Linked DNA regions of Lepisosteus oculatus. The protein of the gene in region 3 purifies or fractionates together with the protein of the main gene of each other region. This does not show direct contact. Links are inferred from orthologs where the notes say so. Each region holds a gene or a part of one and is shown on either strand. Other genes may lie near its edges.

Region 1 (10,302 bases), on a different chromosome or scaffold from region 3:
TGGATTTAAAGCTTTTCAGTGGGAAAAATGTTTTATGCTGAAAACGCACTACAAGGTAAGCTCAGAAAAAGTGGGTGAGATGGACATCGTGTTTTACAAAGGGAAACAATTTCAAAACGTGATTCTGATTGTCCTTGGAATGCCAGCCTAAAGGAGGTAACAAAGAGATATGAAGAAGTACCATTTACACAACTTGTGTTTCGCAAACCTGAAGCAGTCAATCACTTAACTAGTGCTGAAGATGATAACCGAAAAATAATTTTGTCACCATCTTGGCTGACAAAAGAGCATACTATCTCACAACTGAAATGTCGATGTTACCTTCCATATGTAATCAGCTACACATGTTGTAATTCAATCAGGAACAGTAAGAAATTTGGAATGGAAAAAAGAAAAGCTTGCAATCACTATAGGCTTCCAGGTAGTTTAATACCATGAAGGTTACTCTTTTTAACTTATTATAAAGCACACTAAGCAGATGCTGTACAGTCTGAAGTCCAAAACTCAGCACTTCTGTCCCTAACACAAGGCTGGCGAGGAATGCTGAATACCACAATCCAATTTCTAAAGACTGAAGTTTAAAGCTGATATCATAGCTCAGGCAAACTATGATACTAATTCAGGTGGGTATTTCAATCCAAATACAACTAATTTAAGATTTAACACTCGAACAGAACATAGTTATTGGCTAAATTCAGCATCTGACCTGAGGTCTTCTGTCTCTTTTTGCATGTGCCCGTTACAGCTTTCTGCTGAATAAAGCAGTGCCCATTTCAGACGGTGAAAATGGATACCCAAAGCTAAAAAGTCCATCTTGTGGAAAAGAGATACTGTTCCTCTAAAATGAAACATCATCTGAAGGGAAGGCTAAGCGTGCACCCAAAAGACAATACTGCACATGTACTGTAACTGACAGAATTACAGACTTCCTAAACCAACATATCGCCCGTAGTTGATCTCTGCAGTAAGAACCTTAAGCCTCAAAAATGATATTGCTAATTGCTTAAAAATCAGCAAAACCTCAAACACATCAGTCCCTATATCCAAAGCACTTAGGTGCAGAAATCCCTATTGCGTCATAAGGGGATCTAAGTGCCCATGTGTTTGGAATACAACTCAGTCAACACCAGTCTAAAATGTGAAAGTCTGAATTTCTTTTGGTGGATAACAGGGATGCCAATTATATAAAAAAGCACTACAATAATGCATTTTAAAATACAGCAATATTAAAATGTGTTAAGATCGCCTTGCAAAGAAAATTGAGGGACCTGTAAGGAACAATTAAAAGTAATGAACATGAGAAATAATTCTCTAACTTTTCACTTAAGCATACTCTTAAAATGAGAAAACTAACCCATTTCAAGACATCAGACAAGAAAAAGGTAACTTTATTCTAGATACAGGTTTGGGCAAGGACAACTACATTACTTTTGGAAACGTTTCTGATGACGTCTGAAAGTCCAGCAGAGTATATGTGAAATGGTATAGTTAGTCACTTGCACCTTGCTGGTGTCCCCACGGTTAGTCCAACTCAGTCTGAAAACCACCTGCCAGGCCCTAACAAAAGCTGAATTTTACACATGAGCAGATGCTGACACATTGCATGTCTCCACCAACCTCTTCCACAGGTGCCGGACTAGGTTAAAGCCAGCAATATAAAAGAACAGCACACGAGCTTGCTCCCAAAACGCGGCTGGGAGGACTGAGCGACTGTTGCGACGTGGGTTTTGATCATAACTGTACCAAAACATTAGGTTATTAGTGGTGCTGATGCCAAGCCTTAAAATGCCAGTACAATGGATAACCGATAGCAAAAATAAAGACTCCTAAATTAAAATCCCACCTCGTCTACAGCATGACTCCACCACCATCAAACATTTCTCCTGTGCGAAGAAGAGAAATTCATCATAGAACAGAATAGTCAGTGCAGCCCAGTGAGTTCATTCCTATTGCAGAGGTACCGGCACTGGCAACCCTGGGACTTCTGGTGGCCATAATTGGGTTCATGAATCGTCCGTGATGCTCTATTGCAAGATCACCTGTAGCTGCTGCTGCTATCCAGGAGTGACCCCTCAGGTGGGTGGACTGTTTTTTTTTTCCAAAAAAGCGTGTGTCCTATCGGTTTCTGGCCCTGCTGCTGTCCCGTAGGTACACACCTGTCAGCACAATTCCCATAGCATGTCTCCCTTCTCTTTCAGTGAGCAGCTGCAGCATTGCAGTGTGACTGAGTCAAACGAACCAGCGAGGCCTGTACACAATCACAAATTCGCAGGCGTACATTTCTTGGCATGTCCCACATTCTCACATGTCACTCTCGGGGAATGACAAGAAGTGCAGAACAGGCACACCAGAATTAACATTTTCTACAGTCACATCTCACCATTTGTAAAGTCATTATGAAGCTGCTGTCTTGGTTAACGGAGCACGGCTTAGTAAGGAGTGAGGGCACTCATTTCTAAAGTGTTTGAAGTATGATTTTGGAAAATTATCTGGCTGCATAATGCATAATAATCGAAGCAAATTTTGGCCCAGAGCGAAACCTTTTCTAAGTTCCTTGTTTTGCGAATGCATTGAGCAGGAGCAACTGAGTTTATTATTTTGTAAGCTGTTCTTTTGAGCAATGCGGGCATTCCGAAAACAGACTGTGGGTTTTAGTCTACTTAACAAATACGGTTACAATTCACCACTCTGTGGAATGCACTGTGGTTAAAATGCTAATGTTTCCACTCGATATCTATTAATAAATAGTGTGTAAGTTGTTTCCCTTTCAACCACAGTAAACTACGTTGTCAGTACTCAATACATATTTAATGAAGGCCTTGTTGTAAACCACTGTTGTAGAATTCACTCGCATAAAGGGGATTTTCTCTTCTTCACACAAGATGTGCAACACAAAATACAATGCTAAAAAGTGAAAACAGGTCTTGCAGCTCTTAAATCAATCGCGATAACCGAAATATGCGGAGGAGAGCAGAGGAAAAATAACTTATATGCATTTATTCTGTGGTACACAGCAGATGTAACATTCAGCCGATTATTTCCACACAAAAAAAACGTCGTAGCCTTTTCACAATCCCAAAAATATTAATTTAATAAATCGCGGAGCTGCAGTTTTGCGGGGAGTAAATTTAACTTCTTAGCCAAAACAAGCCTAGACGAATCAATCAGCCCCCCTAGAAAAGATTGCATCTAACCGTGGGAAGTGCAGACTTCAAATGATGTTTCAATAAGTGATTATACATTCCCTTGAATTCAGTCCTCTCTAAGTGGCCTAGATAAAAGACTTGCCCTTATTTAAAACCTTACCTCTTCGACTTCTATATCATTATAATCAATTTCTTCGAAAGGGTATCCTGGTGGAGTTTCAATCATTTCTGCGGACGGTGCAGACATCGCTATTCGTCAAAGTTGAGGGGTTATCAAAAACATCCGGAAATGCGAAAAAGTTCACATAAGATTCATCGTAATAACGAGCAACAACAGAAACAACTGATCTGGTAGACCAATTATTACTTTGCAAACGTAAACAACAGTCTGGAAAAAAAAAGTCTGAAGACGTTGCTAATATAGCCTACTGACAGCAAGATGCTGTTAACCTAAAAAAAAAACAACAACACGTGGATAAATACCTCACGTTAAAAAAAAGTATGCATTTACAGCTACTAAAATCACTGTTACTGAACGATTAGTTATTAAGCGCCTAGGCCGCTGTCGGCCTGGCTACAGCCTAGGGATGAACTGACTACCCCTTGCCGCAGACTGAGCTTCCCACATCGGCGCTGTGCCTTGAGCGGAGGTGCGTGTCATTTACTCTGGCGAACTGCGGCTACAACCCGCGCGTACGAGCAGACCCGTTCCCAAAAAGGAAGAAGTATCTCGGACCCATTTGATCCGGCGATATAAGTTTAAAGCCGAGTTTCCATTGACTACAGTATTTTTTTTTTTCCGCAGTTGCTGCGGCAGCTCCAGGAAGTGGGTGTTGCTCGGAAAGGCGCCCCTCCGGCTCCGCTGCGTTCGTGCTCCCGCCCGTAGAGGCGCTACTGACAGCGACAGCCGGCCCGCCGAGGCGGCGCTTGAGCTGTGAAGGAGGGGGGGGCGGACAGGGGTATCTGCAATTGCCCGAAAAAATACCCCGTTACAGACCACATTATGATCTTAGTTACAGATGTAGTTTTTACGATTGCATTGGGTTCGTCTGAAACGCGTATACGTTTTAACACCGGGGTTAACATTTTGAAATTACATGGTTTTTTTTTGGGGTGCAAAATAATTAACGGGCCCCGTTAGTTTCCTGCATTGGTTAAGAAATGTTCATATTAAATGCATATTTAAAAATCCATACAGTAGATGGACACATTCAAATGCATGGAAGTCTGATAAGCACAGGGGTGGAAGGTGGTGAGTCTCACACAGTGTCACAGCCCCGGGGCTTGAAGGCAGACTAGGGAGCCTGATGTGAGTTTTCATGATCTGCTTGTAGGGTCTTTACCAGTTCCCAGTCATCTTTCGGAGACACCTGTGATTTCCTTAGGGGCGACACGCATAAATCATCTTTCAACCAAGTTGTTGAGTAAAGGTTGAAGTTGAGTCCTTTATTCGTCTGCATAGAGGTTTGTAGCAGTGTAGTATATTCTACTGAATACAATAACATAAATGGGATCTTGCTTCTTTTAAGAGACTCCTTTACACTCCTTATTTAAATTAAGGATAATTGACAGCCAGTTGAATTACTCTTAAAAATACAATTGTTTAAAATTCATTTTGTTGGTGTAGTCAAGGGGCCCATCTGGAGTACAGTATCTTGTTTTTGTGCAGGAGAGGAGAGGAGAGGAGGAAACCAATATTAAGGAGACTGCATGAAAATAAATTAAAATGAGGAGTTAAACTGGATTTGCAAAGTCTACTGTGCTGCTGAGTACAGAAATACAAGAGAAGTGTGTTGTTTGTGCTGCGGATAGATAGTATCGGACCTCAACTGCTGGACAGTTGTAGCTTGTAGTCACTAAGACCCTGTTTCACTCAAAACAGGTTCTTTATATCTGTGGAACCACAGATCAGACCAGACAGTTAATCTACATCATTATAGTTTTGTTCCTCTGTCAAGTACAGTCTAACATTAATTGTAAAAGAAAACATGGAAAAGTAACCAGAAGCGACACACATGAGCACACGGAGCAGCACAAGAGCCCCATGGACTACAGTTTCCCAAAACCAATGTCCCACAGGACAAGTCCAGCAGCGCAATTCTCCGAAAATAGCTCCAGCTGGCCCCCGGCGTCTGGCTCTTTCTGCCACAGCAGACCAAACAGACGAAACTCGCGTCTGGTCCTTCAGTGGCCTAAACTGCACGAACTACACTTGATCTTAGCCAAAAGGCAGAGAAACGTTGATGGTCTAAATGACCTGCAGTAAGTGCTCTCTCCAGCTTTGGCCTCCAGAGACATGTGGTCCATTATGCCTTTCCCCAGCCTTGTTTCCTAGTGTTGTGTGAGTACAAGTCAAGTACAGGTGAGGGTGGAAGGAAGATGATGCCTGAGCCTTCCTCTGCTGCTCCGTGTAGAGTCCCCCTGTGATGTCTAAGTCCTCTCCTATAGTCCGCCCTCTGGTGAAACCCCGTGTTCCCCGAATTCTTCTCTTTCAGTTCTTCCTGAGTGGGGCTTGTGAAGCCTCTTCCTGCTCCAGAGATCAGGACTCGAAAGCTGAGGGGTGGGTGTGTCCTGGTGATGCCTAAGGTGTGGGCAGAGCTAACGGCTGGAGGCCCAGTCAACAGACTGGCAGCAGTGTCCATTGGTCTCCTGTTCCAGAGGCCCCCCCTGGTGTCAGACCTAGATTTCCCGGCTAGCAATCCCACAAGTCACCTCTGAACCGTGTGATTATTGACGTGTGTCTCTGCAAACTGTGTGTAGTTCAGTCTTTGTGGATTCCCCACCGTCCTACCCTGTGCCTTAGGAAGACCTTAGATTGAGGGGAAGCTTGAAGAGGAAAGACAAACGGATCCCGTGATAAAGACCCTGGCCACCATGTGCAAACTTACTGTCTGTATAGGCCCCAGGCTCCTGCCCCACTCTCAACTTTTGTCGCTCAGTTTTTTGTGACATTTGCCGTAGTTTGCTCTTTAGTTGGCACCTTCTTTGGTTTTCATTCCCTGCACAGTGTTATTTTTTTAAATGAGTAAAATTGTGATTTTTTTGTTTCATATTGGGATGCACTTTCTGAAGCAGAGGTTGTAGCGAGTATTGCAAGAATGTGAACTACAGTACTTTTGATGCCGTTGAAATAGTGAAGTTTATTATTTTAATATATCCTGAATGCTGCCTTTTAAATTATGGTGCTCAATTATACAATTTTAATAACATTTTTTGTCTTTTCTCTTCCCATTAAGATTTACAACCAGAACAAAAAAAACTGCAAGTATGAGCATTTAACATAACAGCCCTGAGTTAATACAATTTGATTATGAAATATACTATCATCTGTATATATTTCTTCAGTACACCACTTCAGAACTCTTGATTTACACATTGTTGACAAATATCTTACTGTTCTCCTGTCATTACTAATGTGACTGCTACATTGCATAGTTAAAAGGATTAGCGAAACCTTCCTGCTAACAAGAAATCTTATTACAGAAGGAATATACGTCAGACGTCTAGGAGTAAATGTAAGTAAACTATTAAAATAAAACACCATGAATACATTCATGTATTTTCTAAAACAAAACATTGATATAACAAAATTTCCACAATAGAGACATATGATATTGCAGCGTCCACCCCCAGCGCTGGACTGCTAAGGTCTGCTGTCTGTCCTCTCCCCTTGCTGCCTTGCACACACATTCACTTCCTCCTTTTCTTTCTCTTCCTCTTGAACTCCTAACTGCCTCCATCTTCAGATTTTAATTTCAAGAATGTAATTGTCATGGCCGATGAATTACAGAGTTGCCAAGACAGAAACAATTAACAGGACATTTACAGACATCTGCGGGCACCACATAGACGTTAACTCTCTGTACCTCAAACTGAGACAACCTGAAAAACACAAGTCTAGGCTACAGGCTGGGAGTCATGACACCTAACTTGGATGCATCATCACGTCAGTGTGATATTCTGGGCACGAGCATCTGGTAGCTACGGAGCCTGTCCTTCCAGTGATTGATGGCACCCTAACTGCACACCCCAACATTGATCAGGCCCTGGGCCTTCACTTACTGCCCTTCCTGTAGGCTCATCCCGACATGACGCACATCTCAGCAGGACAAACGCAGGACAAAGCCGAGCATTAATGCTGCTCGTGTACAAAAGGCTCTCCTGCAAGATTAGAATGTCACAAGTTCTCGTCGCCGTCGATTCACTGCATGACTTGATCCCTATTGAACACTGGGGGTTGAACCGAGATGATGTGTGGCATGTAGGGCACAGAGACCAGTGAATGGGGAGGTACTGCACATGCTTGTCTAGTATCTGTGAAAGAAATGGGTTAGAACCCAACTTGACTGCATTTGAAAACCTGGCGCAAGGCATGTGAAGCAGAGGTACAGCATAGCTTTCAGCAGTGCTGCTAGCCTAGAAACTTTCACTCAAGATCCCAAGTTCATCATCCCTGTTGATGAAAAATCAATCAGCTGCAACCCGGTGCAGAGCATCACTGGTGTAGATCTTATACTGCTTCCAATGGTGACCAAATGACATCTATCTATGTCATGTCTGTTCAGTAACATGACAGCTGCTGCTACAACAAAGACTGGGTCTTTTTTCAGTTAACTTTGTGAATCTGTTGCAGGTCTTTTGATTCAATTCAAAATACTTTATTCATCCCCAGGGGCTTGACCAATTAAATGTCTTCCAGACTTTTTCATTCCTCAGAACATAGACTTACAATTACTGAGATAACGATGAATGAAACTCTGTGCTTTATTTTATAGATCTGTATTGATCTATATTTAATATTGATTAAAACTGCAAACAATTCTGTACATAGACTGCTAATGTACCCTTTAATTAGTTTTCTGATTCTTTGTGTTTATTTTTAAATCTTTTACCTGTAAAGTATTATTTTAAATGTGACCATTGTTTATCATTTTTGAGGTGACTTCTGATGTCTTTCACTGCATTTTTTTCCTCCTGCCTTTTAGGGAGATCAGTGCCCATTGCCCTACACAAAATTGCATTACACTTCAAAGATAATTAATTTCCTGAACTGACGTGAACCGTCTGGACCAGAATGATATGTGTCATCTGAACATTTAGAGACATGCATACATATAGAGGTGGAGCAGTATTACAAGTTTTATTGGAATTCGACAGGGACTTCATACGTCACAGACTAGAAATAGCTGACATTAACTTCTGCAACAAAATCACATCTGTTGTGAACAATGCTGACTCAGAGGTTAAACTAAGGTAAATTCTAAACCCTAACTCAATGTCTTGTTCCATCTGGCACAGGTGTGCCTTCTGGATGACAGCCATATGATCTCCTTTTAAAAGTATTTTGTAAAACATCGGTTTCTTCATTTTGATGTATCAGCCATTTGCTCGATTGGATTCTGGCTGTGAGGGTGCCAACATTTGTAATTCATTCTTATTCGTATTTAAAATCTCTTTAAGAAAGGGCACCTTTTAAATAGAACAGCAATCTATGAATTTTAATTTAGAAGAAAATGTGGCTATTATCTTCAGTTTGTCGTCCTACAGATTTAAGAGATTTAAGCTTCAGAAACGGGCAGAAGTGTAAGTCAAATTCACGAAGGTGTTACCGCGGTAATAACAAAATCTTGTGCAGAGGCGACTCTCTCATTAATGAAGTTATTTAGCACTTTAAGCAACAGTCAAAATGTTACTCAAGTGCATCTTGGTCAGTTATACACAATCAAGTTATCAAAATGATGCCTAAACAACATTTAATCATTTTCGACAATCTGTATACTTTCTTTTTCTAAAAACATACAGTATACACATTCATAGAATGGTATGTTTTTTTTTCAAGAGCAGTATATGTATTATTAATGTTTCATTAAACAGACATGTACTGGGCATGTGCTAGCACTCAGAAAGAAAGTAATAACATATACCTTTCAGGCCACTCTTCTTCTGAAATTCTACAAATTCATTTTTTTGTGTAATTTCATTTCACAGTGCTCTCTGAGCAGATATCTTATTCTGTAGATACGTATATTTACAGTATATTTCAGCTAGATTAGAAAGTTCTACATTTTAAGCACTGCAGTTTAACCAACACTTCTAGTACCCAAGCAATATATTATAAAAATGTATCTTATATAAATGGATAAAAAGGTAACTTCTACAGACAATATTGTTACAATATGAAAAATACTACATATTATTCTTTCAGAATCTTCAAAAGTTCAAAAAGGCCTTATGCTATATGAACCACATCTGTAGATTGCTGTATTCCTTGAGGACAGCCGTGCACAATATGTTATGCTAAAATATGGAGGATTTCAAACAACAGACACACATGGTTTGCTGAAACCTCAACGTCACTCAAGCAATCCTAATGAAATGTACTCGTTACTTTATATAAGTGTAAAGTACACTACCTACTGAATACATTTTGGATGCCTGAGTGAACAGAACACCAAGTGGGCTCTTCACAGGTGTTGTCCAAATAAGAGTATATAGCCATGTTTTGTTTTCAAATAAAAGAAACTAGAAATTAATTATATAGGAGATCTCTTTTTCTAATTATTTAACACCAGAAAATGAATAGCAGGAAAAAAAAATTGATATCAAAAGCTGAAACTGGGCAGCATGTGTCTGGAGCTGTGAACAGCCATTCACAGCAGTGTAGTGTGCAGTTCTTCAGCTATACAGCAGAAGGCCTGGTTCACTCCCTTTGGTCTGAATTAATATGAAATTTCAATCCGCTTGCCAGTTTAAATTCCAAACAAATAATGGATGGATTTCTATAGTGGCTGGCCAAAAGGATTCTCTAGCACAGAGAAATCTGCCAAGAATGATTGGAATTTTCAACTAAGCAGATGTATTTAAGTTTTGATGAATCGAGGCCTTATTTATTCTGCTTGCAAAGATTAGATCAAGATTAAAGTCTTCAGTATGTCAGACTCATTAACATGAGGCTCTTTTTTTTACTGAGTTAGTCTCAAACACTCGACACCATACTGTAAATAAGCGCCGTCCTTCGGATGAGACGTAAAACCGAGGTCCTGATTAAAAATCCCAGGGTGTTTCTCGAAAAGAGTAGGGGTGTAACCCTGGCGTCCAGGCCAAATTTTCGATGCCTCCTAATAATCCCCCTCTATGAATTGGCTACATTACTTTG
Region 2 (10,471 bases), on a different chromosome or scaffold from region 3:
AAACAGCTCGAAGGCCAGCTGGCGGAGGTGAGGCGCTCCTCCTGGGTGCTCACGAGCGTGAAAGTGCATCTCCTGATCTCGGGTGTAGCCTATGGAGCGCAGCAGGGAGCGCAGGTCCGAGTCGCACAGTGCTGACTGCAGGTAGTAGATGTAGGGGCCTGTGAAGGTCTATAATAAACACGGTGAGAGAAAGCGTTACATGACATGCCTATGGGTTCTTCTAGTTCTAGATTATACAGCTTCAACTTACTGTACTGCTTTGCTGACAGACTAACTGCTACTATTAACTAAAATATAATTTCTTCACAGATAGTTTTACTTTGCTAACCTGAATATGCATTCAATTTCGTTTTAGATAAGATACTGTTTGAAACCTACAATTCATGCATGCACATTTTGTAACCGCTTTAAACCATCTAAATGGTTTTAAACAATTTCAATTGCTCAAAACATCTAAAAATCTGGCTTTAAAGCTATAAAGCCTTGATCTTGATCTTAATTTTATTAAGCAAATTTGCTTCAGTGAAACTTTTTCTACTATGTATTTGATTTGTTCTACAATTCCATGATCTAACCACAGCTGTCCAACCTGATCTCATTAAGCTAGAATAAAAACAAGCAAGAGACTGACAGTTGCTAACTTTGGGGTTCAATGATGATTTGTAGGTTTCTAAATGGCTTCATCCAGAAATGAAGCCTGAACTATATAACAGAAAACTAGAAAAGCATCACTATCCGTTCACTCGCCATGCTGCTGGGCACCTTGTCTTCTGGCATCACGTACCTTAATGCTGCGGAACTCTTTTTTCCAGGGGTACAGCAGCAGGTTGGTACAGATGGTCTCCAGGGTGGCAAAAGCCGTCTCTAAGGCCTGCAGGCTGGAGCTCCTCAGGGTGCGTAGGGCGTTTTCCGCCACCTCATAGAACCGAACGAGCCGGAACCGCTGAGCTGGATCCACTTGGTAGACACTGAGTAGAGCCGTGGCAGCCGCATGGAGCCCAGTCTCAACCGCCACCTGCTGCCCATCGCCTCCTTCCTCCAGTCTGGACTCCAGGCACTGCACATACCTCTTGAACAGGTCCTCTCGCAGCTTGGGATCCATTTGGAGCAGCAGGCTGGGTCACTGCCTGACTCGCATAATCACCCCCTGCTTCAAAGACTCTCCAAGACAGCTGGGAGAAGGCCTGCTCAGACACGCTGCTGCGTCACAAGTTGCATGGTAGCCACATTTCTTCTGTTCAGCAGGAGATGCTGCACCTTGAATTTCCCATGGGGATCTTGGACTTGGAACGTCCCGGGCTGTTTCACTCATGAATAAGCAGTGAAACGGGAAGCGGAGTGCACGTTCACATTGTGTGAAGCAGGTTATCTGAATCCAGAAATCCAAGCTCCGGAGGCTATGCCAAGTAAACCCCGTCTTCAGTGCAAAGTATGGGAATAACAGGCCGCTGAGGGATGACCGACCAGGCTAACCATCCGCACGATTCCCCGGGCTGCAAGACAGAAGAAAAACATGCCTAAAGAAACTACTTAAAGAGATTTTTTTTATTAATGTAACAGCCAGTTAGGATTCAATCAACATGTCAGGTTCTGCCTGATCTCAAGCACATTTTACTCAGCTGCTATAAACTGCTTGACTATACATGAAAGTACTGATTTATTTACAAGCAAGCATTCCCTGCACACTGTTGAATACACACACTGGTAACGGCAAGGATGGACACATTTCGGCTAGTATTTTTGTTTATAGAATATCTTGAACACACATTTTTTCAAGGGTTCCACCGCAGCAATATTAAAAAAAAAAAACCCAACACCTGGGATTAATGCAGATCTGCAACATGTCCGCCTTTCACACTGAGAATTTGTTACTGGCAGAAACTCTGTAATGGAGGAGGCAAATCTAAATGGTTCCGCAGGTGTGAAAGTGTGTGTACACTGTGTAAATCAAGCCTAGATAAGAGCCCACGACAACACATTTTCTGGAAAGTACTGTAAATCTTAGAATAGGTCAGCGACATTACAGAGCAAGGAAAAATCTTACAAAGATTTTATAGAGGCACATTTTGTAAACGTTGGCAGATACAGAACAACAATTACAGGACAGGAAAAACATGGAACTTGTTTTTTTGTTGAAAGACTCATGGCTTTTTAAATCTGCTGTTTCCAGATTTTGTGGATTTAAAATACACCTCATAGAGGTGTTCCTGATGAGCACTGTTACTGAAAACATGAAGTGGTATAATAAAGTTAAAACTTTTAATCTTTTTCAGATAAAAAGTCCATTGGTACCATTGTATTAAAGCACAATGTATTTATAACCATCTCCTTAAGCATAAAGTGTTTTTCACTTTTCTAACTATAAACCCCCTGATGTCACCTTAAGTGCTAGAATAATTTACAAAAGCCATCACAATATTTTGAATCCCAAGGAACATATTGTCTTTAAAACATAAACACATAACCAATGTGCAAATATCTCCTGCTTCTTTTAAGACATGCACAACAAACCTCAAACTACAACTGATGTCAATGTTTCAGGATGCATCCCAGTACTATAGCGAGCAAGGCAGAAATCGTTTGAATGACTGCGAGCATCACATCAGCCACTACGGCTGTTTTTTGCTAACGTTTAGTGCTGTATCCTTGCACATAACAAAACGGGGCTTTGCGGGATGAATTTGAAAGGGCAATCCGAGAAACATCCACAAAAGGTCAGTAAGGGTTGTGTGATACCTACTGTGATGCTCCAGGTTTCACTCCAACTGGGCTGCCCACTGCCAGGGCTGGGTAAGCTAAGGACCCTTGTCCATAAAAAGACCGTTCACATTGAAATTCTTCAAAAAGGGGACCTCTGCTGTTTCGGACTCCCTGCACATTCTTAAGTCCAAAAAAAGCAAAGGATTGTGTGCAGGACCTGGAGGCTGGTCGCAATACGTGCATCGCCTCTCCACCACACAACGTGTAGGCGTCGGAGACGCCTTCTGTAAAGGCCACGGGCGGAAGAACTGAGCATTTCCCTCGTGTCAGACTTTACTAGGGCTGTATAAGGCTCCACACTAATCATGTCCTTTGCATGGGTGTTTGATTCCAAATATCTAGTTTCTACGCGTGAATTTTCAAAATTTACTTCAGCCTCGCTTATTGGTTGAAACAGTCCAAACCTTTACTAGAAAATTTGGGGTGTATGAAACTAGCCTATCGCCTTAACAATCAAGCAGATACGATTCTGCAATTGCAGGCTGTCGCTGTTTAACTGGATCGGTTTCAGGGAGCCGAGATAATTATCTGAGCCCATCAACCTGGCACATTTTATTAATATTTTTAGGCCGTTGAAAATCTCATCCAAGATGTGCGATACTGCGTGTGTGTGTGTGTGGAAATGTCTCCAATTCTGGCGAGCGTCAGTGGATGTGCATGCAATCCGTCCACGGAGCGAGTACACACCCCCAGCCCACTGAATCGCGGATATGACTTTCTCACTCGCCCAACGAGCGGAGCACAGTAACGCTAAAAAATGCAGAAAAATTCATAGCTAACAGATGTAAAACGAAACATCTTGGGGGAGAAAAACGTCACCTTTAGATAATTCCCGAACACGAAAAAAAAATCTGATTTATTTTATACATGTTTTTTTCTATTCAAGGAAGCCAATAAGACTGGTTCCGGTTTTCCACTACACGCACACCCTCTTCCTTACTGTCGTCTAGAATGATGACGCCTGACCCATCAAACATCATTTTTACACGGAGGCAAAGATCATTTCTTGACTTGTCAGTTACTCGGACTCGGCCCCCATCAACAGAGTGGTTACAGCCGCCTCAGTGAATCTACATACACAGATTATAAAACAACGCCTTGAAACCCTAATGCGTACAACCAGCAACCAGTCCCTGCGCCCGCATGGGCAGAACTGCGTTTTGGCAGTCACAAGTCAAACAGACGCACTGAGAAATGCTTCATTTTAAACCAGCCGAGCTGTTTTTAAAAGACGCCACCATACTCTCCCCACTCCTTACCTTCGCATTCTGCTGGAAATCCCCACCGTCTCTCTGCGCATGCGTTACGTAGCTTACGCCACTCCACGTGCGCGTGAACTCAAAACCAGGCGCCGGGTATGCGCGCTATACAGAACAACTTTCTAAATAAAATGTTTATATACACCCCGACAAGGGTCGCGGCAACCCGGGATCTATCACAGAAAAAGAGGTCTGCTTCCTCTGGTCCCCAACCCGGATCCCGAGATTAGAATATCCTTCATCCCTCAAAGCATAGTGTTTCATTATAAACATTACCTGGTATTGAGCATTTGCTTAAAAAGAGTGCCTAATCTTTAAATAACAGGTACTTTTGGCTGATCTATATGAATAATTGGATTGGGTCTTTCCAGGACCAGGGCTGAAGACCCCTGATTTAGAGACAGTAGTTAACCCAGCCAAGGAAACCCACAAAGACATTGAACATTCAAACTCCACAGAGACAGAAACCTACAGTAGGTCATAAATGTGTGATTCCCAATGGAAGGAAACCACACTTAGTTACTGTATCTCCACACCATGATGCCTCCCAAACATTTATCAATTAAGATAAAAACAGAACGTTAACATTTTAGGAAGCATTGAGCATGCATGTTCAAAGTGATATTAACTTTCAAAAGCCGTCAATGAGAGTTTCAGGGAAACTGTCTTATATATACAGTATCTAGATGTTGAGAATTTCCCTAGAACAGAAGTACTGGCTGACGGTTTTGAGTTTAAAAGGCCATCCATAAAAAAAATGAAAATTCTAAATAAGATCATGTGTTCTCCTTAAGATATACAGTAATTACTCCTGCAGTATCTCCTTGAAAACAACTATTTTCATGAAATGGCAAAATATGTATATGCCCAGAAATGAACCTTAATCGAGGTGTTAACCCTGGCCAGGTATGGTCAAGAGCTACAATTTCCGCTTTGTCTTCACTTCGCCCATGTCCTAGGCAGCCGCTATGTAGTTTGCTGTATTCGCCCCTCCTACAGCAGGTTCAGAGCTGACGCGATATTCGTGGCATCTTACACGGAAAAGACAGGAACAGGAGCGGCTGTGCGAGAAATGGCGATGTTTGGGGGCTTAGATACTGTTCTTAAGAAGAAAACCACGGAGGATGGCGAGAGAGATATGCCAGAATTCGTGTGCCCAGTGTGTCTAGAGATTTTTGACCGGCCTGTTACAACACAGTGTGGGCATACGTGAGTCTCAATACATGGTCGTTTTTTTAAAAATATTTGTTTATATGGGTGGAGATATATCCACAGCCCATTTTTTTCTGTTTTTAGTTTTAGTTCTGTCATTTGCTTTAGTCTCCTAACCGTGATAATAAAACAGTGCCTGCAAAGTAAATGTATATATACATCTAACATTAGTTTTCATGTTTTGAAACAGGATTCAAAGCTTTAACATGCTCAATTGTCATTTTATTTAGTATTTTCAGGCTGTATGTTAGAATGATGAACGCTTGTACTTTCACTTTTGTTTACATCTAAGGAGTGTGCTGCATTGTGGGATATGTATTTTTTGTAGCGCTGTCAATGGTTTAAATGTTAGGGTGTTGTATTTGCAGTCGGACTACAAATCACAGAAACCCCCGTTACTTTAGGGTAATTTATTTTTAGATTTCGTCCTAAAAGAAAGTGTTTAAGGTTTCTTTTCAGCTTCCAGACAGCTTCATTTTTGTGGCGCGATAAACGCATAAATCGAGTGGTAGTGATTACATACAAAAATGTTGTTAGAATTTTAACTTTTTAAATAAAAATCTTTGGTTTATACAAATGTTCTCAACTTTATAAGTCTCATTTGTTTTTTTTATAGACCATCGCGATTTAACAATTCTCATCGGGCGTTAAAGAGATGTTAGGGTTATTTTTTTAAATTTTACGATGTCTTTAATTTCTGTACATAATTATTTACTTCAAAGCTCGCTCTGTTAACAGTTCCAAACATTTTACACTCGACAGATAACCAGGAATTCGTAATACCTGTGGTGCATGTTTTTCTCACTAATTGCACCCATAAGTGCAGACTCCCAAGTTCCACGTTTTTTTTAGGAATGAAGAAGGCCTTAGTTACAGATATTTCGTAATAGTCAAGTACGAGTATGTAGCTACGGATTCATCTGTTACGAGAAAAAACAAGTGAGTTATAGCTACTGTATCTACAGAAAGCTGGGACATTACTATAGAAACCTTCAAGTATTTGTTGTAAAATTAACAAAAAGGAATATATGAGAGCGTAGGCTACTTGCCCTGTCCCTCACAAATTCAGAGGTCTACTTGTTAGTGCTTACGAATGAGAATAGTCGTTCTCATTATCTAAAAAAAAATGGGTCAAGAAATTAGGACTCTGAAACGGTTACTGTAATGCTATGGGGGGTGTTAACGACGATTCCTGGCTTGTTTTAAACGGAAAAATAACCGTTCATGATTACGTTTTAATTCAAAGAATGATAAGTTCTGAAATGTAACAGACTGCATTTCTTGTATAGGCCTACATTTTTTAATTTTTAGATGTTTCCTTTTGGGAATGAGGAGAAGAAAACTGACCTGACTTTATAATGCCTTCTAATGATATAAAAACCCCATAATCTCCTAGGGGATTAAATCGAAACACAAGGCAACATTGTACCACAGCCACTGCAATGGCTAATATCCACAATTCCCTCTGTTCTGGCACTCACTTGGTTGCTCATAGCGGATCTGGAATCTCTTTGCTAAGTACTCTTGAAAGCCAAATCCAGAACTTTTTTCCCCCCACTGTGACTCAATTAATGCTCAGCTGAGCTTTTTTTATAATAATGCAGGAAGTCATGTGATGAACCAAATATCAGACTAGACGAGCTGGTACCTACAATGCAAGCTTCATGATAAGGTGATTCATGACCATGGGGGAAAAAACACAGCCAACAACAGGGTATCCCCTAATTAATAATGTCATACATTTAAAAAAAAAGTCAGCTGTCTGAAAAAAATAGTTCTGCTCTGCTTTTATAATTGAGTAAAAGGATACATTTATGATTTTTAAACTCACTAGTTGCTTATCCTTTAGGCAAACTGGTATCAGATTGAAATAGAGAGAATGAAGAAGTGCTCTTATACATGCACTGTAAAATAAAAGTATTAGCTGAAGCTTCCAGGGGTAAATTATTGTATTATACCCTTTGCTATCTAAATCAAATTTAACAAGGATATACTGTGATATAGTTTTATTAGGAATTTGTGTCGGCAGAGAGTCGATAAGAGCAAAACTCGGGAATAGACCAGACTGATGTATCTACTTGTTTATGTGCGATTAAAAATGTTTTTTTACACTTGAAATCTGTAGCCCACCCTTTTTTGCATTGCTGATTTTGCCCTGCACATATTGTACTCTGCATATCCAGTTAATGGTATTGCACATTGTGATGTATGATTGTCTATACTATCTATATAAATCTATACTTGGACCGTAATCACTACTGCTCGACACCTGCACTTGTCTGTTCCTGAGCATTATGTTATTTTTGCCAATATACTGCATATGCTGAAGTTGTCATTTACTAGGTTTTTGTTTGCTTTAGTGTGTTATCTGTTTTGTTCGTCCACCTTTTGCCAGTGATTTTAAGCAACTGTGTGACACACTGGATAAGCCCCACCATAAAACCGAGGCTTAAGAAAGGGGTCTGCTTTTTTCCCAAAGGTTCTGCAGCAGCTGCTTGCAGGAATGCCTGCGCCCCCAGAAGCCTGTGTGTGCAGTTTGCCGGACTGCTCTCAGCAAGTGGTCCAATGCTGTAGAACTGGAAGCAATCATTCATAGTTCGCTGGGAGCCTGCAAAGGCTGTCACACAGAGGTGAGCATTGTACTATCCTCTGGTGTTGAGGGAGAGAGGTCATACTGATGAAGGGGTATCGGCAACACTTAGGAACAGTGTATGCTTGATAACATGAGCCATTTTGTATTGATGTGTTTGTTCTGCGCTAAGGGCTGTATTTCCATAAGTTGACTATGTGTACATTTTATCTTTGCATTCAGAAAGGGTGGTTAAAAGACAAATCAACCAGGCTTGGGCAGCGTGGTGGATCAGTGGTCAGTATTGCAGTTAGTATTGCGGTGCTGGGACGCAGGGATTTTATATTGTTCTCCTCATTGTCATAAGGTTTTCCTCTGGATGCTCTGCTTTCCTCCCTAAGTCATACTGGATTCTGGCAAATTGGCCCTGGTGTTATTATGTGTGCCCTGGGATAAACTGGTGTCCCATCCAGGGTGTATCCCGCCTTGCGCACTTTGCCTGTCGGGATAGGCTCTGGCTCCGCGGCGATCCTGAATTGGATAAAGCAGTTAGAAAAAGGATGGATGGATCAAGCAGACATTAAAAGAATGTGTTTTCACACTCGGTGTTTTTGCTGGAATAATTCCTGTGCAGCAGGACACTTAGTACTTATTAACACTCAAAATCAGTGCTTATTTCTTATTAAAGAACAGCTTGGGCCTTCTGGAACTGTGTGGGCATACAAGAACTGCACTTGTCTTTTGTTTAAAGAAATGAAAACTTCTGCCTGCGTAATTACTCTCAAGTCCTTTGCTTTGCCTGACAGGTGCGTCTGTCCCAGATGCGGAGCCACACAGCTGTCTGCCCCAAGTATCAGGAGTATATTGATGAGGGGGTGAGAACTGTTGTGAAGTCCCAGCCCTCTGTGGTCAGGTAAGAGGATGGGCTTTCCATCTACTTCCATCCACATTCTGCCCTGTACTTTCTGGATGCGGTCAGGATTCTTGCTGTGTGTTTACCTTCCTTGTTATCTTTGCTGATGATACTCCGCCCATCTCAGCTGTTTCTTTTCAAAAATAAGATGCCAGTAATCGGATCTTCTCAGGGTCTTTTAGGTTTAAAAGAAACAGGACTTTGTGCAACCTGCCGGTGCGGTGTCCCTGAGTGGAGTTCTGCAAGGATGAAATCTTTCTTTCCCTCCCAGCTCGGTTCCAAACCGTTACACTTTCACCTGTCCCTACTGCAACGTTCAGAACCTGGACCAGGACGGGCTGGTGGAGCACTGCACTTCCCAGCACTCCAGGGACTCCCGTCATGTGGTGAGTGGCACTTCCATGCTCCGAAAAAACTTGTGAATTCTCCCTCTTAACGTAGGCCGCGAAGCTTCTTTTTTGTCCGGAGTGTTGGAACTGGTGGATGTTTAATTTTTTTCTACCTGCCCGGTTTTAGATCATCATCTGTTTGTCGAGCCGTCGTGCTCGTGCAGTCCCCTGTACTACACAGAAAGACCACGGGCCTGTGGGCGCACTCATCCCGCTGTCAGAGTCACTCTCTGTTTGACTCTCTGCAAGCTCCACCAAGGGGAGAGGCAGTTCATCTCTCACGGGCAGCACTGCCTGACAGGTCCCCTGGGATGATGCTGTTGAGTAGCTAACAGTGAAAGACCTGGTTGTCTCAAGCTTGACCAATTGTATACTGACATTAGGGGAGTAACAGCTGGGTAACGATGCAGCCCAGGCATGAGGCACTTGGAGTCTAAGGATTAGTCAAGTTCAGCCACCCTTTAGGCCAATTTCAAGCCTCTTTTACTGAGTTTGAAACGTTCCTGTCAGACAGGGCTTCATTGCTCTGATGTATATGTCAGAAAAACCAGGCTGCTGATGTAAATAATGCTATTGGACTAGTAAAGTGGCAATCTTCCATCTGAATTTCCAAACTAATGCCCCAGTAATCCAAAGCCATACTGTTTATGGTCAGATCCTTAGACACTGTTTGTAAGAGAGAGCACTTAACCTTGGTATTCAGACTAAATTCATTTTTTTTCCTAGTCTGCATAGTCTGGCATCCCTAAATTTCCTCTCTGTTTCAGCTGGTTCAGTAATGTCTCACTTCTGCACCTGATTTGCTGTGCAGCTTGCAGTGGCATGCAAGCAAGTACTGCACTTCACTGGTGGATGAAGTGGGTCGCCTCCTGCATAAAGTGCTTTGAGACCTTGCGAGATGCAAAATGTTTTATAGATGCAAGTAATTGTTATTATCGTCATCAAAAATATCTTCCTGTCTCAATTGCCTAGCCAGGTCGTCTTACCAAGTCAACCTAATGAGTAGGCCTTGATGAGCTCTGCTGTCTCTGCATGGCTCATCTCTTCCCTGTTCAGTTAGGGTTTGTTCTTGTAAGAAGTGGAAAATTAAATCCATTCCTGTTTGTTTTGCTGGCTTTAAAATAAACTGTGGAAATGGGTGGGGGCTTTGTAGGATCCTTAGAGACCTTACTTGTTAAGAATATACTTTCTGAAGTATATTCAATTGACATGTACTCATTGCTCATCCAGAACATGGTAAGTTCAAGGAGAAAACATGAGGATGAGGAGATGACCGCTATTATTATCTAGCAGATCACACTGAAATACTATTGAATCATATTCAAACAGATACCATTATACATGAAAGTGCCACTTCTGGAAAAAACAA
Region 3 (10,545 bases):
TTATTATATAAGAGAATGTTTAGATCAGGGTACATAGCAACAGGGAACAGAAACGAAATTTAAAGTGGATAGAATTCTATGCTAATAATTCCAGCAATTTCATGAAACCCCATTTTGATGGTACTCACTAATGTATGGCCAGGAAACGTTATGAATGCACGCAGAAGCTGTTTTAGCAGAAATAGCATTTTCCCTTTTCCTCATGGCAGGACACATTGAAGCACACCAAGCTGCCAACACAGTACAACACTGCACCAGTCGGAAGGAATCTCAGCCCTATGCACATTCAGGTTTCTTTTAACTCTGAGCCAGGACAAGCAGTATATGCAAGATCGTGAATATAAAGAATACCTGTCTGCTGAAACAATATCTTTCAAATCAAAATCATCAGTAAACTTTAAAGGGTTTTGACCATCTCTAAACTTTCATTCTCTCCATATAGCTCTAATGTCAACAGATTGCCTGAAGAAAAGTGACATTTTCTGCATGGGACCGGGATTGGGCAGTGAGTAAATCCCTTGTTGACATACAGTTAATCTTTGACTAGAAACAGGACACTTAATTCAAATTACTTCATGTTGTAAAACAAGCAATAAGCAAAATAAGAGTAATAAATCAGTAGACAATGTTAAGACTTGTTTGGTATTATCCAGCATACTTTTTATTCTCAGGGCATAGGTTATGACATGTCTCATTCCACTGTTAGCAGAGCAAGGTCCCTAACTGCTATCTGTTTTAAACACTACAGTCTGAATAATAAATTACAGGTAATGGGGATCACCTCCACCACCACCAATGTGCAGCCCCACCTGGATGATGTGACCCGTTATTGGCGGGGAGGAGAGCAGAGTAATGAAGCCAATTCATAGATGATTATTAGGAGGGCATGATTGGTAAGGGCCAATGGGAAATTTGGCCAGGACACCAGGATAATACCCCTACCGTTTTCAAGAGACGCCCTGGGATTTTTAATGACCACAGAGAGGCAGGACCTCAGTTTTACATCTCATCCGAAGGACGGTGCATTTTAACAGCATACTGTCCCCATCACTATATCGGGACATTAGGACCCACACAGACTGCAGGGTGAGCACCCCCTGCTGGCCTCTCTAACACCTCTTCCAGCAGCAACCTTAGTTTTTCCCAGGGGTCCCCCATCGAGGTGCTGGCCAGGCTCACACCTGCTTAGCTTCAGTGGGTTGCCAGTTGTGAGTTGCAGGGTGATATGGCTGCTGGCCACATGAATGCATGTATGCATTGCTCTGGAAGGTTCATCAGCTATCCTTTTTAAAAAAAATGCAGTGGAGCCTGATATGAGGTTAGTTTCTGAGCCCATAAACAATGAAACTGCAAAGTCTTAACAATGAAGATTCCTTTGGAATGTTTAGTTAAGACAATTGTGCCCAGCTGAAGAGAAAACCTTCAATAGCAACACCTAAAAAAAGACAAGGCACATCCAGGAAACAACAACCATTATGAATAAGTACAAACAGAACCTACGAACAAGATTACTATGTTAAGTAGGTTATTTTCACAGGTTAAAAAAAAAGTATATAAAACAACAATTAGAACTAACAATTACAGAATAGCTGGTTATTTTCAGAACAGTAATTTGGAAGTGTCAGCTGTATCAAACTTGACTCTGCTGCTGTAGCTTCAGCACCATGCAGGAGATCCAGGAAGAATCCTGGCTAAGCAATCCCAACCCTATCCAATAGCAGACGGCTAATTCCACAGAACAGCCTGGGGAATTTGTGTTGTTCTCGGACTTGCCTAGAGATGGGTAGTTTGCCATGTGTCCCCACATGCTGCACTGGGTGTTCGAAATGTCAGAAAAGCAGAACAGAGGCAGGTCCTCGCGGAAGCCAGCACTGGGCTTCTCCTGACTCCACAGGCCCGAACTCATGGCGGCGAGGAGGAAACGCGACTAGGCTTTGCGCATATTAACATCGGGGACGCCTGCTCTAACCGCCCGGGAGGTAACACTGAGAGGACTACTTCATGCCACTGGCATTACAGAGGTGTATAATAATCACATGCTCTGAAATAATGACCTCATCAGTTTAGAACTGTTTGGTATAATTTATGTTTTATTACTTAGAACAAAATTTCCCATTTTAGGGGCAAAAACACACTGATGTGCGACACCCATACAGCAGTGACAGTACAGCAGAAATGGAAAGACTGGGTGGATACTTTGTGTTGTTTAAACCCACTTAACACAACAGCACAGAGGGGCAATCTTCTTTGCACTTCAGAGAACACCTGTTGCTATATGTTGTAACCTAAAGATTCTCCATCAGAAAGCAACAATTTTTCAGAATTTTCATAGGTCTTGGTTCTCTAAGAAGAACACCAAATTCAAAAATGAAGATCTAAAGTACTGCCTGTGTGATCAGCTGATCGGACAATGGATTTCCCCCATGGCCTCAGAAACTCCGAGATGAAGCCACAGAAATGTTAAAAGGGCTAACAGGGAAATTCAGACTGAACCACACACTGCAGCTGTCCCACCCACACCACACAGCCCACACTGCAACCCATCATCAACCCACACTCTGCAGCATTATCCTACACAGCTCAAAAACTGCATTAATGATATTGGTGCACTGAGCATTACACTAAAACAAGTGAAATGGGACACCTCTGATCAGCACTTTGCTGCTGCAGAGAAAACTTACTTTTTTATTTCAACAAGTAAGTAGGTTCAGTGGTGTGTTTTGATTAGGAAAAACCTGGAGCTGGAAGAACACAAAAAAGTGAGTTTTAGTAGCTGTGAATCGAATTCTCCTCCGGTGCCATTTATTTCAAATGTAATTAATCACAGGCCTGAATTCCATCGCAGGATAATCTCAGCACACGGACTGTCAAGAGATCAGGGCCCAGCATCTCACCCACTATCAGGTACAATGTACAGCAGCATTAAACATGTTGCAGTGCAGTTGGCAGACTGTCTTTGAGCGGCTGTTCTTACTGTATGAGGGATATGCTTCTCTTGGTACTGTAATCTGCCAGCACGCTCTCCTGCATCAGTCTGGCACCCACGAGAAAACAAACAAGCGCTGCTCACAGTAGATGCTGACAATCATTCTCTTACAGTGCAAAGAATGGGCCTTTCACAACACAATAAAGATCTTTTTGTTTAACACCGCGTGCTAGCTGGTACATTGTCCTGAAAATCAAGCACTGCTCTGCTTTAGGCATTTGCCTACACACCTTACAATACTAGACCAATCCCTAGAAAACAATTGCAGGGTCCTTCTAACACTCTGCATGTCCTCAGCTCAGACAGCTAGAAGAAGTGCAGTTTGCAGATATAAATGACCTGTGATCATTCTCCACCTGACAGCAGGGAAGGGTGTCGTTCAGCATTCTTCATTAGCCAAGAGTCAAAGCACGTGCCAGCAGGCTGTGACAAAATACCAGCAATGGAGTTTCAGAAGGTCAAAATGTGACGAGCCGTGCCTGAGGCCTATGACATAGCTAGCTCCGATAGTCATGACAACAACCCCATGCTGTGTAAGTTATATAGTGACCATTATCCGATTCGTCCGGATGTCATAGGGTGGGGATGAAACAAGCGATTCCCCGTCGGAAAGAGGTCGGTTTCACTGATACTGTAAATTAGCAGTGACTGTCCTAGGCAAAGCGCGACACGTAGGGCTCGGACTTCATTAAGGAGCATTACTAGTTAACAGGCGGTACGAAATACAACAGTGACGTCATTTAAAGTAAGTCGACACGTTCCGACCCCATCCAGATAAATTCACCTCTCCCATCGCAACGCTGACCTCTGCGACATTACGTGTAACAAAGACATTCAGCTTCGGGCTTTATTCCCTCGGGAAAAACAGAGCCTTTCACAAATAACCGAGAGCCAAACCGGACTCGCCACATCAATGACAACTCGCCAGGGCATTTTTTTGACAAGCCGGCGCATCTCCGGTCGAAGTGACATCACCCCTCGCTGAGCCACTAAACGACACCAGAGAGAATGGTGTTTTTTCTTCTTTTTTTTTTTTAGAGGAAGTCCTGGATAGCCGCTGTATTGAGCCGATATTATTAGCTGTCCACTGGTTACTACATTATGTTTGCCGGGGAGTGTATCCGGGAAGAGTTGAGGGTTGGAATAGGTCCCAGAAACCAAAGCTACACGATGTGCTGAGATAGTGGTGCGGGTTGTAGACAGGATCAGCGGTCCGCTTTCACGCTTTGAAGCACTTCCAGCCTTACCTTAACTTCGCTGTCACCAGCTACCTGTTCTTCAGCCGGCACGGTTTTTTTTTTGACTGAACTGCTGTCACCAGGATCCAAAATATTGGTCGGGGTCCGCCGACAAATTATACCGGGCTCCTGTCTTCTCGCCACAGACGCGTCCAAACACGGTGATTCTAAGAGCTCACATTCTCTCAGGGTTTCGGAGCCAGGTAAGAACGTAGCAGGGGAATAAAATAAAAGCAATCTAAAAATAGAACCCCTTTTCAGCAAAATGTGAAGATTATTTACAAGAGGAACCTGGTCGACCAACCATGCTGTCAAGTCCCTTGAACGTTCATTGGCAGTTGAGCGCCGGCTCGAAGACCTCATTGGATGGAAGACCTGTGCTTTAGTTTAGGCCCACCCACCCGAGGCGGGGATTTCCGAAGCTTGGTTGACGCGCGAGGGGGCGGGGCGCACGTTGGGTCAGAGCGGCGAGCGTGCTGATCGCGACAGTGGGCGGAGCGCGGAAGCTGCTCTTTCTCATAAGTGAGAACAGGATTTTTTACTACCGTGTGCTGCCACGGGTCATGGAAAAGTTCAGTCAATGGTACTAGTTACTAATGCATTAGTCTTTTCTTTGGTAGTCTAGGATGTTGTTACAAAGCCCTAATCAGCATTACTAATACTATTACATTATATGCTGGTGTGGTTTAGTTTTCTGTCAGGCAGGTTGATGTGGCTTGACTGAAAAAGCATGGCACTGACTCCAGTCCACTGACAGCTAAAAACAGACTTAGCCTTAGTTCCTGACAGTTCGTCCAGCACCATATTGCATTTAAGTGTCAGTCAAATTTTGAAAACATTTAAAACCAAGAAGGGAAGGCACTGCTGTAGGGAAAGGGTTACAGGAGTAACAAAAAAAGGACCAAGTCAAAACCGAGAACCTGGGCTTCTTTTAAGAAACAGCCAGACTCGCTCCTCAGATTGATTCACCACTAACCCCCCAAGCAAGCTTGAGGAACAAAGTGGCCTCTTCTCAGTTGTACCTTTGCAACTGAAACATGAATTACTCACGTGCTGTCTGTACAAACGTACTCGTGCGTTGTATAAATGTTGTTACACATGCTAAGATATTAAAGATAGTTAAGAATGCAAGATTCTGCCCTGCGATGGGCCCCGTCTTGTACACTTTGCTGGCTGGGACAGGCTCCAGCTGCCCCGGGCCCCTGACTGGGAATGAGCAGTCAGAACAGGGATGGAGGGTGGAAGAGAATATAAATTCAGGACCCCGCGTTTTACCTTGACTGGCACAGCCGCGCTTCACCCTAAGTTTATTCATCAGAAAAACGGACACACCTGCTCAGAAATATAATTCTGCTACAGAATATAAAGAACAAGCAGCTTGATAAGGAGTAGCGATGCCATAGTCTCTCGTCATCAGACATGAGGATCTGTTCTCAGCTGCCTTGTCTGGTTAAATAAAGGAGTAGTAATTTTGTTTTAAAAATTCTGACGTTTAACATAGCCCAGTGATAGCCCGGATAGTCATTGTGAGCTGGGAAAGGAAATGTTAAGATCTCCCCTTCTACAGAGTGTCTGCGTGGTCTTGGGTGGTGAAGATGTGCACTGCAATTCAGCAGGATGAGGAGGAGTGTGAGGAAGGCTGCAGGAGGATATCCTGAGTGATCTGAGCATCACAACGTCAGCCGGCTCTCCTTGTGGGCGAGTTCTTCTATGTCCTCTGCTGTCAGGTCATTTCCTCTCAGCCTTCACGGAAAGAAGAAAGATGTGCAATGAGGGGTTTATTTGAGCTACCCCTAGCAACACCTATGAGAAGACACACTTGTGCAAAGATCCAAGTACAAATTCCTGGAGTGGAGTTTACCACTGCACAAATGACGACTATTAATTAGGGTCGGCCATGGATATAGTGTCTACTGGACATATTTGTTTGAAGTTGTGTGGTTTATGGTTTCATAAAGGATTTGGCTGGTTAAGACTGTTACACAGTCGTGAACAGTCCTAATGGTACAAATGTACCAGAGAGACGAATTAATTCATCTTTCCTCTCCCTGGCCTGCTCCCCAGTATCAAGACGATGACACAGAGGGCGCTGTCTTTCCGTCCTGGCTCGCTTCGTCACTGGCATCGTGCCCAGCGGTCGGAAAGCCGAGCGCAGGCTGTTTCCTGGCAACAAGCTGCGCCGCTCGGAACCGGGGGTGCGCTTCTCGGCTGATCTCCCCCCCGCTGCCCACGTCTGCTCCGCGGTGCCGGCCAGTGTCTCTCTCGCCGGCCGCCCCCTGCATCCGGCGGGCCGGGGAGGAAATCTTACCAGATCGCCTTGACGCTGGTGTTCTTCTCCAGCGCCGCCATCAGGCACAGCACCCCCTCTCGGGTGATGGAGTTATTGGTTAACCTCAGTGACAAAAGAGGAAAGAGCCGACATTGTGATTCTTACGCAAGAGCCTGAATGGAGCTTCGTTTGGGTTTGTTTTTAATGCTACATTTTCATTACTAGTAACACAGCACTATGCATGGCACAATAAAAGGACCTACATAATTTAAACCTGTGGTAAATTCTAAGTGTTAGTCCTTAAGTTAAAGTTTTCATGCATGTGAAATGCCATTTTGAGTACTGATCTGCTGGTACCCTTGACAAATGTCATAAAATAGTTTATATTGTCTTTATTTAGTTTTATAGGTCCGGACAACGGCTTAGGTATTGAATATCTTAAATACAAAATGTTATTAGCAAATAAGGTGTTGCTGGCAGTGTTTGAAGTTGCTTGGGTGAAGGTTCAGGAAACAATGTTCAGGGGAAAACTCAAGTGAAATTAACATACCACTAGACAGCAGAATGCAGAATTTGCGCAGAAATAAAATGCAACTTCTGTCCAAAGAACCAGAATGAATCGTTCCTGTAGCCAACAGCCTGTCCTCTGGCTGACTGCACCAGCCTCTCTCCTCATGCCTGCACTCGGGGTATCTTACAGTATCTCTCAGGCTGGTGAACAACAGGCTTTGTGCTGCTATCAGGTGGCATCCTCCTCATCTGCTGCTTAGAGCCTAAGAGACCACTCTAAACTGGTCGACTGTGCTACTAATTAACTTTTCCGCTAATTACTCGCGGTCTGAATATCGCCTCTAATACATCCAAGTCCTCTTCTGTAGATGTAAAGCCTGCAGATTTTTCAAATTACAATCTGAGGATTAATTACCAGAATTTCATAATGAGGTGGATGCACGACAGTGAGCAGTGGTGATCTTGAAATACAGAGCTCAGAACACAGTAACTCAATTTTAAATAGATGATGTCTGAAGCCAACTAAGCATGGGTATATCGTCTGGAACATACCATGGTATCCAGAGTTTGTACTACTTGTACTGGAATGGTACTGGTCCTTTTGGGACGAGATATGGTGGTTTTTGAAATGTACAGCTTTTCTTCACCCTGCAGTGATTTGGCCTACGCAGAGACCACTGGTGAACCAGAGCCTAGCTGAGCCAGTCTACAGAGAGAGGCACTCACCATAACTCCTCCAGAGTACTGCTATTCTTGATCACTGCAGTCAGCGCACGGGCTCCAGAACTGCTCACTCCATTGTCCACCAGACTGCAATCACAGCACAGCACGCGACACATCAGGATAGGTGCGGCACACATTTTTAACACCTTTCATTGACATTGCGCTGCAATCATCCTGATGTAACGGGCGGAGCGGTGGCTCTGTGGTTAAGGATCTGCGTCTGTAGCTGGAAGGCTGCCGGCTCGTATCCCGAGGAATCAACTCCGTTGGGCCCCTGAGCAAGACCCTTAACCCCCAACTGCTCCAGGGGCACTGTATAAATGGCTGACCCTGCGCTCTGACCCCAAGCTTCTCTCCCTGTCTGTGTGTCTCATGGAGAGCAAGCTGGGGTATGTGAAAAGCCGAATTCCTAATGCAAGAAATTGTATAGGGCTAATAAAGTGATGTTATGTTATGTTATAACCTAGATCTGTATCACAGTGGTTCTCTATCCATGTCCTGGAGCACATCCATGCTCAATCACCGGTGCCTGGAATTGATCTGCATGCTGCCTGACTTCTGTCTCCAGCCCTTTAATAGGCGATGGAACTGAAGACAAGGGAGAATGACACTGCATCAGTGCACTATAGCCACGCTGTCTCTTCTGTACCAAGCCACAGGCAAACACAGAGTTAAGTTTATACAGCTGCTTGAGAAACTACAAGGGGGAAATTCTGCCATTAAAGAAACAGGAAGGCTGTGACCGGGTTTCTCAAGCACGGCTGCACAGCTGGCTTCCGTTTACATGAGCACCGTTCTCTTGGCTCTTGCACCATTGTGAGACCGGCTCCTCCCATCAGCACCCCTCCTGTCAGACTGGCACCTGCAGGGCGTCACGATGATGCGTGGCCCAGAGCACGTCTGCAAACTCTCACTCTCCCCCCCGTGCAATCATGGGAGATCTACTGGCAGGTGGAAAGGTTGGTCTTAACCCATCAGGAAGTCCAAATGAGGTAGGTGCAAAAAAATAAAGCATTGTAGCCATGTGACTTTGTGCATGCCCAGTTGTCTTTACCTGAGCCACACCAAGCTGGGGCTTTTCTCCAAGGCCTCTGCCAGCGCCTCCGTCCCCTGGTCTCCGATTTTGTTCCCCCACAGTCTAGAAAGGGATGCAGGGACAGGCCTGTTAGACCACCAAGACATCACCCTCCTCTTGCTCCTGGCTGGCTGTGTGGGGATGCTCGTGGCAGTCAATATCACCAGCACGAGCCAAGACAAGCACTCAGCGATGGATTGGGAAACGTACTACAACCTTGATCTTTAATCATAGCCTGCGCAAGCAGCGGTGAATCCGGAAGCTCGCTGACGTGGCACGCCGACGAGCGACTCTCACCCCAGGTACTGCAGAGAGCGACTCTCCCTCAGCCCCTCTGCCAGCTGCTCTGCCCCTTGTGCAGTGATGTGATTGTTTCCCAGCCTGCAACAGAATAACAAGCCATCAGGAGCCAGCAGTGACGGAGCCAACTTCACTGAAATCAGTTCAATGGAAGAAAACGTGCAGAACAGTAAAAAAGCAGGCCGGTTTTCCCATCCGACATCCACCAGAATAGACATCCTACCACACAAGGACAAACAGGAAATGCCAGGTAATTCTTACCTTAAGGAAAGAAAATTTTTCTTCGTTCGGAGAAGTTTTGCAAAATGCTTTGTGCACTCATCTGTCAGGTTGTTATTAAACAGCCTACAGGAAAGGTACAAATGAATAACTCATTGTAAATACCTATTATTTCATTTCTGGGATTAAGCTTTAAACTTTAGCCTCAGAGGACTCATGTCAAGCATGACATTGAAAAGAGGCAGGTTGGAGGTAAATAATTACACCTACTGCGTTTCTGGTAGAGGTAAAAATTCTCAAGTTATCCACCCCCAGAGGTTAAATGGGGTTTGTACTGCAACCATAAATTGGAATTGGAGTCGATAATAGGCCATAGAAAAGACTAAAAGACTACCATTCTTTGAGACATCCTTTATCTAACCAACAACAACAACAACAAAAAAAAAGAAAATGCGCTTTCATGTGAATAGTTCTACACTAGATACATGTTGCCAAGTCACATACACAGAATGAACTCATTTGCACTACAAGGGGATTGTTTAATTAAAACAGTGAAAATGAACTAGTCACAAGTGTTCAATAACTGGAAACAGAATACAATATTTTGAAACAGCGGTATCACAACCTAAGATACAGCAACTACACAAAGATATTGGTCTCACTTGCTTATTACTTTGTGTTTCTTACCAATTCAAGACCAGGACTGTCAGTCTGGAGCGGAGTTGATAAAGCGCATTCTCACTGAAGTTTTAGTTTTGTCAGGTTTTACAGACTGTAACTCTCTGTCCTAACACATTTAAAAATTTAATGTGGTTAAATCCAAACAATTGTCTGTTCACAATATGAACTTGTCTTTCTTATTATCCTGTGTGGGTTGGTGTAATGCAGGACGATGTACTCACGCAATCTTCTGAAAATGCTCACATTCGATGCCCCTCTCAATCAGCTTGGAGATGCCTTCATCGGATACGTTATTGTGCCGGAGGCTGGGAGGAGGAGGAGGAGGTCAGAATGCAAAGGAGACATGTGCTTTATAAACTGTTCAAGATAAACCGGTTCTCTAAATTGCAGTGGATCATGTCTAGCTGCATTTTGATGGCACAGATAAAGAAAAGCAAGGCAAAACTATTTTCAGTGTAGGAATCCCATACACTGACATTCTTTAACATTGCAGACTTGTGTTTGCAACTTGAAATACTGTGGTATAAAATCGTGAGGCTTTCCT

What was found.
Region 1: the proteins of cyld (region 3) and map3k7 purify together in Homo sapiens (affinity purification with western blotting; 4 studies listed by BioGRID, with this or other methods). This does not show direct contact. The link is inferred for Lepisosteus oculatus from reciprocal best matches to the Homo sapiens genes CYLD and MAP3K7.
Region 2: the proteins of cyld (region 3) and spata2 purify together in Homo sapiens (affinity purification with western blotting; 10 studies listed by BioGRID and IntAct, with this or other methods). This does not show direct contact. The link is inferred for Lepisosteus oculatus from reciprocal best matches to the Homo sapiens genes CYLD and SPATA2.

Annotation. Positions count from the first base shown.
Region 1 is NC_090697.1:7,517,632-7,527,933, reverse strand, and holds the start of map3k7 (mitogen-activated protein kinase kinase kinase 7), read right to left. Parts: upstream 4,043-10,302; 5' UTR 3,808-4,042; coding exon 3,747-3,807; intron 3,396-3,746; coding exon 3,307-3,395; intron 1-3,306. UniProt on the Homo sapiens protein: Serine/threonine kinase which acts as an essential component of the MAP kinase signal transduction pathway. Plays an important role in the cascades of cellular responses evoked by changes in the environment.
Region 2 is NC_090711.1:6,397,391-6,407,861, forward strand, and holds the start of spata2 (spermatogenesis-associated protein 2), read right to left. Parts: upstream 4,106-10,471; 5' UTR 4,020-4,105; intron 4,010-4,019; exon of another isoform or gene 2,737-4,009; intron 1,494-2,736; 5' UTR 1,103-1,493; coding exon 785-1,102; intron 169-784; coding exon 1-168. Other genes in the region: E3 ubiquitin-protein ligase RNF114, read left to right, coding at 5,092-5,228, 7,711-7,861, 8,607-8,713, 8,985-9,099.
Region 3 is NC_090715.1:2,178,786-2,189,330, reverse strand, and holds the start of cyld (ubiquitin carboxyl-terminal hydrolase CYLD), read right to left. Parts: upstream 4,325-10,545; 5' UTR 4,234-4,324; intron 1-4,233. Other genes in the region: nod2 (nucleotide-binding oligomerization domain-containing protein 2), read right to left, coding at 5,895-5,967, 6,533-6,616, 7,730-7,813, 8,781-8,864, 9,099-9,182, 9,363-9,446, 10,223-10,306. UniProt on the Homo sapiens protein: Deubiquitinase that specifically cleaves 'Lys-63'- and linear 'Met-1'-linked polyubiquitin chains and is involved in NF-kappa-B activation and TNF-alpha-induced necroptosis.